Xenopus tropicalis: one gene and its partner. The protein of the gene in region 1 purifies or fractionates together with the protein of each later gene. This does not show direct contact. Links are inferred from orthologs where the notes say so. Each region holds a gene or a part of one and is shown on either strand. Other genes may lie near its edges.

The links. The genes of interacting proteins can lie anywhere in the genome.
Region 2: the proteins of foxj1 (region 1) and fbxo11 purify together in Homo sapiens (affinity purification with mass spectrometry; 3 studies listed by BioGRID and IntAct, counting the BioPlex papers as one, with this or other methods). This does not show direct contact. The link is inferred for Xenopus tropicalis from reciprocal best matches to the Homo sapiens genes FOXJ1 and FBXO11.

Annotation. Positions count from the first base shown.
Region 1 is NC_030686.2:45,076,892-45,082,852, forward strand, and holds the end of foxj1 (forkhead box protein J1), read right to left. Parts: intron 5,751-5,961; coding exon 5,217-5,750; intron 3,587-5,216; coding exon 2,774-3,586; 3' UTR 1,672-2,773; downstream 1-1,671. UniProt on the Homo sapiens protein: Transcription factor specifically required for the formation of motile cilia. Acts by activating transcription of genes that mediate assembly of motile cilia, such as CFAP157.
Region 2 is NC_030681.2:21,098,045-21,104,202, reverse strand, and holds part of fbxo11 (F-box only protein 11), read left to right. Parts: intron 1-1,609; coding exon 1,610-1,739; intron 1,740-2,487; coding exon 2,488-2,571; intron 2,572-2,650; coding exon 2,651-2,783; intron 2,784-4,016; coding exon 4,017-4,123; intron 4,124-5,400; coding exon 5,401-5,512; intron 5,513-5,818; coding exon 5,819-5,925; intron 5,926-6,001; coding exon 6,002-6,139; intron 6,140-6,158. UniProt on the Homo sapiens protein: Substrate recognition component of a SCF (SKP1-CUL1-F-box protein) E3 ubiquitin-protein ligase complex which mediates the ubiquitination and subsequent proteasomal degradation of target proteins, such as DTL/CDT2, BCL6, SNAI1 and PRDM1/BLIMP1.

The DNA of each region.
Region 1 (5,961 bases):
TCATATCATGTTTATAGGTTAATGTTACTTGGACAACTTTGCCAGAGCCAGAGCACTATATACTATTACACACATTACTATTACGGAGTATGTTCTTAGTAGTGGGTTTCTCCAGGTACTCCGGTTTCCTCCTACAGGCAGGTTAATTGGCTCCTTATAAAACCACCCCTGGTTTGTGTGAAAGGGGTTAGATTGTAAGCTCCACTGGGGCAGGGACTGATGGGAATGGGATAGGGACATTAGATTGTAAGCTCCACTGGGGCAGGGACTGATGGGAATGGGATAGGGACCTTAGATTGTAAGTGCCACTGGGGCAGGGACAGATGGGAATGTGATAGGGACCTTACATTGTAAGCTCCACTGGGGCAGGGACTGATGGGAATGTGATAGGGACCTTAGATTGTAAGCTCACTGGGGCAGGGACTGATGGGAATGTGATAGGGACCTTATATTGTAAGCTCCACTGGGGCAGGGGCTGATGGGAATGTGATAGGGACCTTACATTGTAAGCTCCACTGGGGCAGGAACTGATGGGAATATGATAGGGACCTTAGACTCTAAGCTCACTGGGGCAGGGGCTGATGGGAATGTGATAGGGACCTTAGATTGTAAGCTCCACTGGGGCAGGGACTGATGGGAATGTGATAGGGACCTTAGATTGTAAGCTCACTGGGGCAGGGACTGATGGGAATGTGATAGGGACCTTAGATTCTAAGCTCCACTGGGGCAGGGACTGATGGGAATGGGATAGGGACCTTAGATTGTAAGCTCACAGGGGCAGGGACTGATGGGAATGTGATAGGGTCCTTAGATTGTAAGCTCCACTGGGGCAGGGACTGATGGGAATGTGATAGGGGCCTTAGATTGTAAGCTCCACTGGGGCAGGGACTGATGGGAATGTGATAGGGGCCTTAGATTGTAAGCTCCACTGGGGCAGGGACTGATGGGAATGTGATAGGGACCTTAGATTGTAAGCTCCACTGGGGCAGGGACTGATGGGAATGTGATAGGGGCCTTAGATTGTAAGCTCCACTGGGGCAGGGACTGATGGGAATGTGATAGGGGCCTTAGATTGTAAGCTCACTGGGGCAGGGACTGATGGGAATGGCATAGGGACCTTAGATTGTAAGCTCACTGGGGCAGGGACTGATAGGAATGTGATAGGGGCCTTAGATTGTAAGCTCCACTGGGGCAGGGACTGATGGGAATGTGATAGGGGCCTTAGATTGTAAGCTCCACTGGGGCAGGGACTGATGGGAATGGGATAGGGGCCTTAGATTGTAAGCTCCACTGGGGCAGGGACTGATGGGAATGGGATAGGGACCTTAGATTGTAAGCTCACTGGGGCAGGGGCTGATGGGAATGTGATAGGAACCTTAGATTGTAAGCTCCACTGGGGCAGGGACTGATGGGAATGTGATAGGGACCTTAGATTGTAAGCTCACTGGGGCAGCGACTGATGGGAATGATGTATAATCCCTGTAGAGCGAGCCACTACTCCCCTCTATTCAAGTGCAAGAGACTATATAACGTTTAAAATGATCAAAGTACATATTTTCCCCCCAAACCACCCAACTGAATATGACAGCAAATCAAGACAAGATCCAATGTATTTTTTTTTTATACAAAAATGAATTTATTTGCGGAACACACACACTTGGAAGCTCATACAAGCGTGCTGTCGTTTTTATTCATCCGAAAAACAGTGGCCCACTTTTCAGTCACCCTTCTACCCCAATTGCAATTGCATAATAATGTTTGAACCATTCAGGCAGGAGATAAACAGAGTCATAAAATCTGCATTGTTGGCTGCCTTCTTTTCTGTTCAAACACAAGCATTCTCACACACTCTCATTCCCTTCCTCAGATAGAAAAAAAACAAAAGAGAAAACTACTGGACACCTTTTTCTCCCAGTAGCTATTTCCCGACTCTCTTTGTTGCCAGGGCAGCGTCTATGGCAATGTGGAAGCCGACAGAAATTGGTTTTGAGAAAAAAATATACGTTGAATATTTGTTTTTATATATATATATATATATATATTTAAGGTATTATTACACCAAGCCTGTACATCTTGATATCACTCTGTCTGATTTCTCAGTAACAAGGGATTAGGAATGAAAGACAGGCAATAGGAGGCTAAATAAAGTTAGATTTGTTGTGTCTGGTTAAAATTTCTAAAATAAAAAGAAATCACCCCCCAATAATAACAGTATTCCTAATGACATTAAACACATTAGGTTTAGGTATTTTCGTTTTTTTTTCGTTGTCTATCTGTTTTTTTTTTTCTCCCATTTCTACCGCTGTTATATAAAAAAAGATTAGAAGACAGATAACGGGCAACTCTTCGGCCTGTGGAAGAGAGAAAGAGAGAGGGAAGGGCACATTGCACATATTCCAGAAGTGATCATACATCAGACTCATCTGATATCACATTGTCTGTATTTCGCCCTACCCACAATACAGAGGTAACACCTAAGTTCGTTTTGAAAATACCTAGAAAAATAAGTACAAAAAGGTTCTTTATTTAAGTACTGTTCTTTTCATCATGGACAGAGGGAACGGGACAGTCTTCTGCCCAGCGTATCTGCTGCCCGACAGCTCAGGCCACTGGAGGAGCGTTCAGCGGGATAGACCCGATCTATTCCCAAACTGTGTAAACTCCAGAATCGGTACCCTCTGCTCTGCAAAGGATTTCATAAATGTTCATAAAAGTTCTTAGTAAATATAAATTTATTTATATAAGTGTCTATCTGTGTCCCTGTATGGCAACATTATATATAGGAGCCCAAGGCAGACCAGTCATTGAGCTCTGCGGGAAATTCCTCATTGAGATCAAAAAGCTGTTCGATATTGGCAGAGTTTGACAGATAATCATTCCTGTTCTCTTCCCACGGGTGCTGGAGGAAGGAGGTGGCCAGGAAGGTCTCATCAAAATCCAAGCTGTTTTGGACCACCGCTTGGTCCTGTCCCAGTGGGTACCACTGCTGTGGGCAGTCGATGTGCTTTCCATGAACGGTGAGGTCGACAGAGCGCGTAACTGGGCTCAGGGGAGGCGTGACTTCCAGGTCCTCGAAGGCCGAGAAGTTAACCCCATTCATTGAAGAGTCGAAGATCACTTCCCAGTCAAAATCACCTTTCAAGGACCCCAATTCAGTCTGCTCCTCTTGGCAGAGCATAGGGGAGCTGGAGAGGCGTGGGGCCTTAAACATGCGTTTGGGCAATGGCTGCTTGCGCTTGTGGGACTTCCCATCGCTTATGGCATTCCAGCCATGCTCTCCTAATGCATTCCAGCCTTGCTCACCGGTTGCCTCCTCGAATTCCTTCAGCAGTTGGTGGGACTCCGAATTGACGCTCAACTGCCAGGGGGAACCTCTGTTGCTATTACCGGAGGCTGCAGCCTGGGCGCTAGCGAAGGCCGGATGGATCTGCACAGGCGGGAGTCTGCGCTTCTTCATGGCCCCATTCATCAGGCGATCGGCATATTGTGGGTCAATCTTCCAGAAGCCTCCTTTGCCAGGCTCATCTTTTTCCCGTGGGACTTTGATGAAACACTTATTCAGGGAGAGGTTGTGTCTAATAGAATTCTAGTTGGGAGAAAAAAAGAAAATTAGATGAAAATTGATCATTCTGAAATTTATGGAGAAAACTTATGGAGTTGGGAATAATGCAAGTTGGGCAGAGAAAGCCCTTGTTTTTTGTTTTTCCCCAGGCCTAGTCTGAGATACAGATGTAGGGAGGGAAGAATGGGTAGAAAGGGAGTTGGAAGCTAAAAACAAAAAGATTGGAATCATAAAATAGTAGAGAAAGGAAGATCCAGTGGGCTGAGCGTGCTGACTTTATAGCCACATATCCTCCTTTGACCTCTCCAATTCCTAGCCATCCCAAATACCTTCCCCCTTAACCGCCTCTTCTATTTAGACAAAAGGAGGGGCGACCTTTGTAGAATCCCCTGGCTTACGGGAATGGTGGGACAGAGGAGGAGCAGAATGGGAAATGTGTGTCTATTCTGGGGGTGTAGATCACGCTTTCTACTTTTAAATAATAACGCCGGGCAAAAATGGGTTAAAATAAGGATATCTCCCACCTTTCTGCCATCAAATCCCCAGGGATCCCGGATCTTCCTGATCCGCTAGTTACTGTTTAATAAAGTTTAACAGGCGGGGGGAACAAATTCCTCTGCTCGTCTTTGAGCCCCCCTCCCATCCATTCTCTCTATTCATCACTCTCCTCTGGATGCTTATTGCTTGGCCTGTTAAACATATTTATCATTCCTGCCTCAGCGGCTTCCATCCTAACCACCTGTGTCGGGGTAACCCCCCCCCCCCACCTACACTAATGTTTAATTAAACCTCACCAAAGACTTGGCTTGGGAGGGAGGGGGGGGGAGAGGATTTATTTTCTGCCTCCAGGAAACTTTGTCTGAGAGCCCTTCTCAATAAAAGCCCTGCAGACCACACATATTTATAATGTAAATGTGCCACAAGCACATATTTATCCCAAATTACTGAACACACACACGTATATATAAATAAGCTACATGTCACTGCAGTAAATGGACTGTCATTAGCATCACAGAAGAGGGGCATCGGGGACAAGTTCTTTAAACTAGCAGGGAGGGCCTCTTTCTTTCCTTCCAGGAAGCTCACCCCCCCCCACCCCACCTGACTGTACAAGATCCCCCTATAAACCAATCTCAAATGGACCCTCCTACTCACAATCCATTACTTAGAACAATGGGGTGTCAGGGCCACACAGAAAGTACAGAACTGCGGGGCGGGGGGGCTGACACCCAGCTAAATAAAACACCAATGTACAGCAATGGCCCTGAATAAGGGAGAACTATCATGCACTACACATTAACCATTAAGCTTTTCAATACAATTAATTAGTTCATCTTTAGAAGAATGTTGACGGGGATGGATGCACAGCTCCCGCCGGCAAGGGTTAATGAGCCATGTGACGCTGTGGGATGTAGGAAGCGCAAAATAGTAACTCAAGGTTCACGGAACCACAGAGTAATTATACACAGGGGACAGGCAGAGAGAAGCAGAACCATACCACTGTGTGCCTTATTGCCTCAGCACTACAACAGCAGCTTCAGGCGTAAGGTAAAGGCAAGTTAGACCGCGTTGTTATGAGGGAATATTAACAGATTGCAATGTATAAATAATATATGGTATATAATAGTCTTGCCATCCCCATCCGCATACATACCTGCCAGGTGGGGTCGGCGTGTCGGAAGTAGCAGAAGTTGTCGGTGATCCACTTGTAAATGGCAGACAGTGTGATCTTGGTCTTCTTGCTTGCTTGCATTGCCATACAGATGAGGGTGGCGTAGGAATAAGGGGGCTTCACATGCGGGTTGGTCTTGTAATCGATATCTTCCATTGGCTGGAGTCCCAGGTGGGACGCCCGCGAGGTGGACGAGGAGATGGGTTTTCCTGGGGTATGTGGCATGCCCAGGCAAGCGGGGTCGGCGGCCAGAGGAGAACAGGGGGCACCGGATAGATGTTTGTAACCATGGGAGTCCCCAGATGATGGTGCTTTACCCACGTTGGCATTGAGTATGGAGAATTCTTGTAGCCACTGTAAGCTGGTCAGACTGTCGTCCAGGTTAACCGAGCTAGAAAAGGAATCTTGGCCTTGCTCCCCCTCAGCCTGGAAAGTCACCCAGCTGTCCTCCATGTCTATCGGGGCCACTGTGGGCAGGTCAAACATTAATAAAGCCTGGTGATCCAAGAACTGCTCCTACAATGCAACCAGAGAATGGTCTGTTAGAAACATGGTGTCATGGAAAGTGCTGATTGGGTTACTTATCCTAAAGCATGTCCCTCTTAAGGCCAAGGCACCCTAGGGTGCTGACGTAGCAAAACCTTACCCAGTGAGATGTCATTACCTCTGTGGGGGAACCCTAGCTCCTGGTCCCACCCTACGTCATTTTATTTGTAAGGTGATCTTA
Region 2 (6,158 bases), on another chromosome or scaffold:
CCTCCTTTCTATATAAGGATGGACTCCACTCCCTGATCAAGTTTTTTCTTCTGTCCTGTGGTTAAGATAGAGGACAGTTCCAAGTTATAGTTAATTTGAACTTAGCTTGTTTTTATTTTCTTTGAGGTATGCAGAGTTACCTCCCATGCAGTAGGAAAGCTAATGGCTGCCACTTAGGTTTAAAGATCCAAATACAAACTGTAGATAAATTGAAAATGCCAAAGAGGTTTTGGGTGTTTTTAAAAGTAAATTAAAAGGGGGCATATACCTTCCTGACAAGGTCTCCCCCTCTCGTCCTGCAAAGTAGTCAGCCCAAGCTTAATTACAGATGCAAGAGAGATCCCCAGTGCAAACTGTCCTTGCCAGTTGTACAGCAGTTATCGAACATAAAGGATTTATAATGCAGTACTTGCTTGTCAATATTACTTATTATAATCAATTGCACAAGGCATTTATATCCTGAGGGCAATGACACGCACAGCTACTTGTAGCTAGCTACAAAATAGATAACTGATAATTGTCTCTACATGTGTTTGCCATAGATAATACTGAGAATTGTCTCTGCTACGAGTATTTTCTGGCATTTTGTAGCTGTGACAAGTAGCACCATGTGTCTTAGCCCTTACTGCAATTATAAATGCCATAATTACATTGTTGGGATGAAATGACATTGTAAAGATAAGGATTTGCGGAAGTGGAAGATTCTGCTGACTGCTGTTGACAAGTTTATTCACTCAGACATAGACTTTTTGAATGTTTTCCTGTAATCTCAACATTTTTAGATGTCATCTGAAAGAAAAGGTTTTGTTTGCTTAAAAATGTTAAATATACAAATATAAATGTTATTTCTCTTTAAACAATCCGTGTATAAAGAACCTTTCTGCTTTACTCCTTCCCTCCAGTTTCTTCTCCATGGATAAGTAGTTTGGGACAGGACTTTTATTTTAGACAAACACACTTTCTTTTAGGTACTAAATTTGCTGTTTTTGGATTAAGCCAAATACCAAACCTTTGGGCAAATCTGGATTATAATTTGCATATGCAGATTTGTAACATCCTGTGGGGGAAAACAAATCTGCTAATCATGCAGAAAAAGTCCTTTAGTTTCTGTGGTCACATGGTTTTAAGGATTTCCCTTGACCCAGTCAGGGCGCTGAAGATCTGCCTCTAACAACCAAGGATGTCAGAGCTTTGTCCCTGACTGTAGGACAAACAAGGAGTGCAAATAGATGTTCTTTGGTGTCATTGTCTCCATATGGACAAGTGGATGTTCTCAGAACATACATTGCCTTATGTAATCCTCTGTGGATCAGGACATACTAGGTGTGTCAGGATCTCCTGGACTTTAAAGAACCAAACTTTAGCCAAACAGTTTTATAGGGTCCCTACAGGTCTTTGCAATATCAGGTACTCTTTGTCAGCAGTATACAGCAAGCCCCAGTCCCTTAACTTCCTTAAGTGCCTTAATCTTTTGTAGTGTAAATAGTTTAACTATTGGTATACCCCATGGTTCCTGTGTCCTACAAATGATTGAAAAGCGAACAGGTTAACTGTGAGAAACAAAATCACCTCTTCTATTTTTCATTAATTGCTCTTGTTTTGACCTTAGGAAACGCTTATACATGGAAGTATTTGAATATACACGTCCAATGATGCATCCTGAACCAGGGAAGTTCTACCCAATTAACCCTGAAGAATATGAACATCCAAATCCATGGAAAGAAAGCTTTCAGCAATTGGTATGGTCATAATATTTTTTTTATTTAAATGTATTAAGCGCCTGTTTGTTGAACCATAATTCTTTCTGCAAAGATTTAAGATGTTAGGGTTTTGGGTGTCTGCACAAAATAATTCCTTTTAAATGGATTTGTATAATAGCAGGAGAGATATAGGAGATGCATGGTAGGCATTTGTTTTTGCCCACTTTTAAGGTCATGCATATAACACACCCTCATTCTCTGTGACAGAGCCCCTACATTCATACAGATTTAGCAGTGAATTCAGTGTTAATAGACACTGCTTTACATATAAATATAACGAACCACCCTATAATCATACAGATTCAGACATCATTTTATTATATAATTCTTTATGTAGTATTTTCCATTAACTTTACAGAGATTTTGTATCAGTCTTACATCTCTCTCACATTCATACACACTAGGGCCAATCTAATCAATCAACCTGACTATAAAATTGCAAACTATATTGGCTACATCACTATGAACAGGCAGGCCTGGTGTGACTGTTAGCTGATGTACTGCATGGGCATCTCTCACCTAGTCAACTTCAGGTTAGACCTTTTGCATAAGGAATTATTGTTTGGGTCACTGGACCTGCAGCAATACAACTGAAAGAGCTGGCAGTGTAAAATAAGCTTGCATGTACAAAGCAAAAGTGTAAAAGCTGTATGTAAAGAATTAAATCAATCTCTGAGATAATAAAAGAATACTTGCCCTTTTTAATACTTTTGTTTCCCTGTTACAGTACAAAGGTGCGCATGTTAAACCAGGCTTTGCAGAACACTTCTACAGTAATCCTACAAGATACAAAGGCAGAGAGAATATGTTGGTGAGTTCACTGTAATTTCTTTGTAATGGTAGAAGATATTTGTCAGACACTAAAGATCTCCAATATTCCTGTTTTCCAGTATTATGATACTATCGAGGATGCTCTTGGCGGTGTACAGGAAGCACATTTTGACGGGCTAATCTTTGTGCATTCTGGCATCTACACAGATGAATGGATATACATTGAGTCCCCAATAACCATGATTGGTGCAGGTAATAAAACATCAGTGTTGAATAAGTCAGTTGTGTTTGTGTTCTCTGCAGATGCATCAGTTTGCATATCCGTTTTGCTGCACTTGCTTTTACATTTATTTATAGTAAAAGTAGTGCAGTAGTGAATGATTTGTTTATTTTTCTGGTAAATTCATATGCTTGTCTTGTACAGAAACCTGTGCTAATTAGGCTTACGTCAGTCGATTTGTACATTAAACGAAAGCAGCTTTCCTAAAGCTAATTTTACTGGAAACTATTTAGCATAAATATCTGTTAATGTCAGATGGTAGCATTTTTTTGCTCTATATATTTTAAGGGGGCTGTCAGTTTTAACTGATTGCCAAGTTTACAGCTAAGGGAAACATTGTCTTTAAGAAATATTTTCAAACCATAATGAAGGGTATGATAGTTCTGCATAATGCAGGCACATTCTAAATTATATTTTAGTTTATGGTAGTCATATTTTTTATGCCACATTATCTGATGCTGCCACATTTTAAATTACCTTTAAATAAAAATTGCTATGTAATCGCCAGAAATATAAAATACAGGTATGGGATCCTTTATCCAGAAACCAGTTATCCAGAAAGTTCTGAACTACAGAAAGGCCATCTTCCATAGACTCCATCATAAGAAAATCATTTTATAAAATTATTTCCTTTTTCTCTGTAATAATGTAACAGTACCTTGTACTTGATCCCAACTAAGATATAATTACCCCTTATTGGGGGCAGAACAGCCCTATTGGGTTTATATAATGGTTAAATGATTCCCTTTTCTCTGTAATAATAAAACAGTACCTGTACTTGATCCCAACTAAGATATAATTACCCCTTATTGGGGGCAGAACAGCCCTATTGGGTTTATTTAATGGTTAAATGATTCCCTTTTCTCTGTAATAATAAAACAGTACCTGTACTTGATCCCAACTAAGATATAATTAATCCTTTGGAGGCAAAACAAGCCTATTGGGTTTATTCAATATTTAAATGATTTTTAGCAGACTTAAGTTATGGAGATCCAAATGATGGAAATATCCCTTATCCGGAAAACCCCAGGTCCCGAGCATTCTGGACAGCAGGTCCCATACCTGTACTTACAGCCTAGATTGGCAAACTAACTTCTAAAATGAAATGTTACATTTTATAATTAGAAGTGTGATGCGTTAACCATGTGTGTTGTGTATAAAGCACTGCAAATGCGATAGTAATGTTTCCTTTGATTTGTCTACAGCACCAGGAAAAGTAGCAGACAAGGTAATTATTGAGAATACAAGAGATTCCACATTTGTATTTATGGAGGGATCAGAGGATGCCTATGTTGGTTACATGACAATACGGGTGAGTAGTTTATATTCATGTCTATCACAAATACTTTTTTTGCTATAATGTCTTTTGAATATGGCAAGCCTCATCTTTTAAGAGATTAAGTTGCGGTTGTAAGAAATCTGATGTATACTACCTGCCAGTGCCATACTGACCATAAATTGACTTAATTTGTTATAGTCCCAGAAACAAGGTTATTTTGCAGCTCATTATGAAGGTAAAATGTTTCTGATGTCAGTAAATCAAGGATTTTATGTATTTTTCTTATTTAAATATGCGTTACTTGTGGATGCAGCACAGCAAAGCCATACATTATTAGAGCAAATGGTTCCATTAAATAATAACAAATAAACTTGAATTTAACTATATTTGCTATTTAAGTGCTAAACAAGAGAATGCAGGTCTCTGCCCCATAGAGCTTACAATCTAAATATTTGGTTGAGACTCAAAAATGGTTACATATGCTGTTTATGGTGCTTCAGTGGTCCATTTGTTGGTCACACTGTTCCTCATCAGCACCACCTGCTGGTCAGTTCCTTTGACTGTCGGTTTGGTAGGAAAAGAGAACTCCCCTTGATCCACCATTTAGTGATGGGTTGTGTGCTCCTTCAGAGATCACATGACCAGAAATAATGCAGCTCTGACTGTAACAGGAAGTAGTGTGGGAGCAAAAGGCAGAACTCTGCCCATTAATTGGCTGATGTGACTTAGCATGTATGTGTGCCTTGGCTTGTTTGTGTGCACTGTGAATCCTATGATCCCAGGAGGCGGCCCTTAATTCTTAAAATGGCAGTTTTCTATTTAGGAGTACCCAATAGTACATACTACTAAACTATTTTTATAAATATGGTTTATTTAGATGAAGCAGGGTTTTACATATGAGCTTTGTTTATGCAAGATATTTTTTAGAGAGACCTACATTGTTTGGGGGTATAGTTTTCCTTTAAGCAGTGGTCCCAGCCATGAAGAGTTCCTTGTGTGGCCCTTGGCAGCTCCCTCTCCCTTTTGCTACAACACCTATGGTAACTCGTGAATTTTATCAAACATACAGAATCAGTGTAGGGTTCCACAGGTTATTAGAGACCTGCTGTGAAGGCAAACGAATAGGCTGAGTTTAACTTAGGCACCTGCCCGCTAAAGTGTTGCTCAGCAGCAGTATATTTTACTCTGCCTGACAGGGAATTTATCATCGGAGACTGCTGTTCAGCCACACAAGCACAAAGTACAGAGCGCGTGCAGGATTTTCTCCATTTTTTGTAAGGTGAAGGTTGTACATTTCATCTTTCTTTCAGTTTAACCCTGATGATAAATCAGCCCAGCATCATAATGCACATCACTGCTTAGAGATCACAGTAAACTGCAGCCCAGTCATTGATTTCTGTATCATTCGAAGTACTTGCACAGGTATTGTATATTGTGTTTTAAGGTTGATTCTCCTTCAGTAATGTTTTTACATTGACATGGTTAAAGATCCGGGTGCTAACCACAAATTAACATATCCTCCTTCAGAAAGCACTCACGGTATTAGAAAAAAGAAAATATTTATTTACACAAAAATGTCTACGCGTTTCGATCCATATAGGATCGTCATCAGGACCGTCCTGATGTGTATATATACACACACAAATATTCCTTTTGCAAATAGGAAAACAGGCAAAGCTCTCTCTGGGTTTTATAGATGTCTCATGGATTACTTTACCTCTCTTGCAGTTGGTTCTGCGGTATGTGTCAGCGGCCAGGGTGCATGTCCCACTATCAAACAGTGTAACATTAGCGACTGTGAGAATGTAGGACTCTACATCACCGACCACGCACAGGTACCTTCACGCTTCTTTTTGTGTAACGTTTTTAATAGCCAGAGACTGGTTCTTGAGATACTCTTTTCTCATGTAGGGGATCTACGAGGACAATGAGATCTCCAATAATGCACTAGCTGGAATATGGGTTAAAAATCATGGCAACCCTATTATAAGAAGGAATCACATTCATCATGGGCGAGATGTTGGTGTTTTCACATTTGACCATGGCATGGTGAGTACTGGCTTCTTTA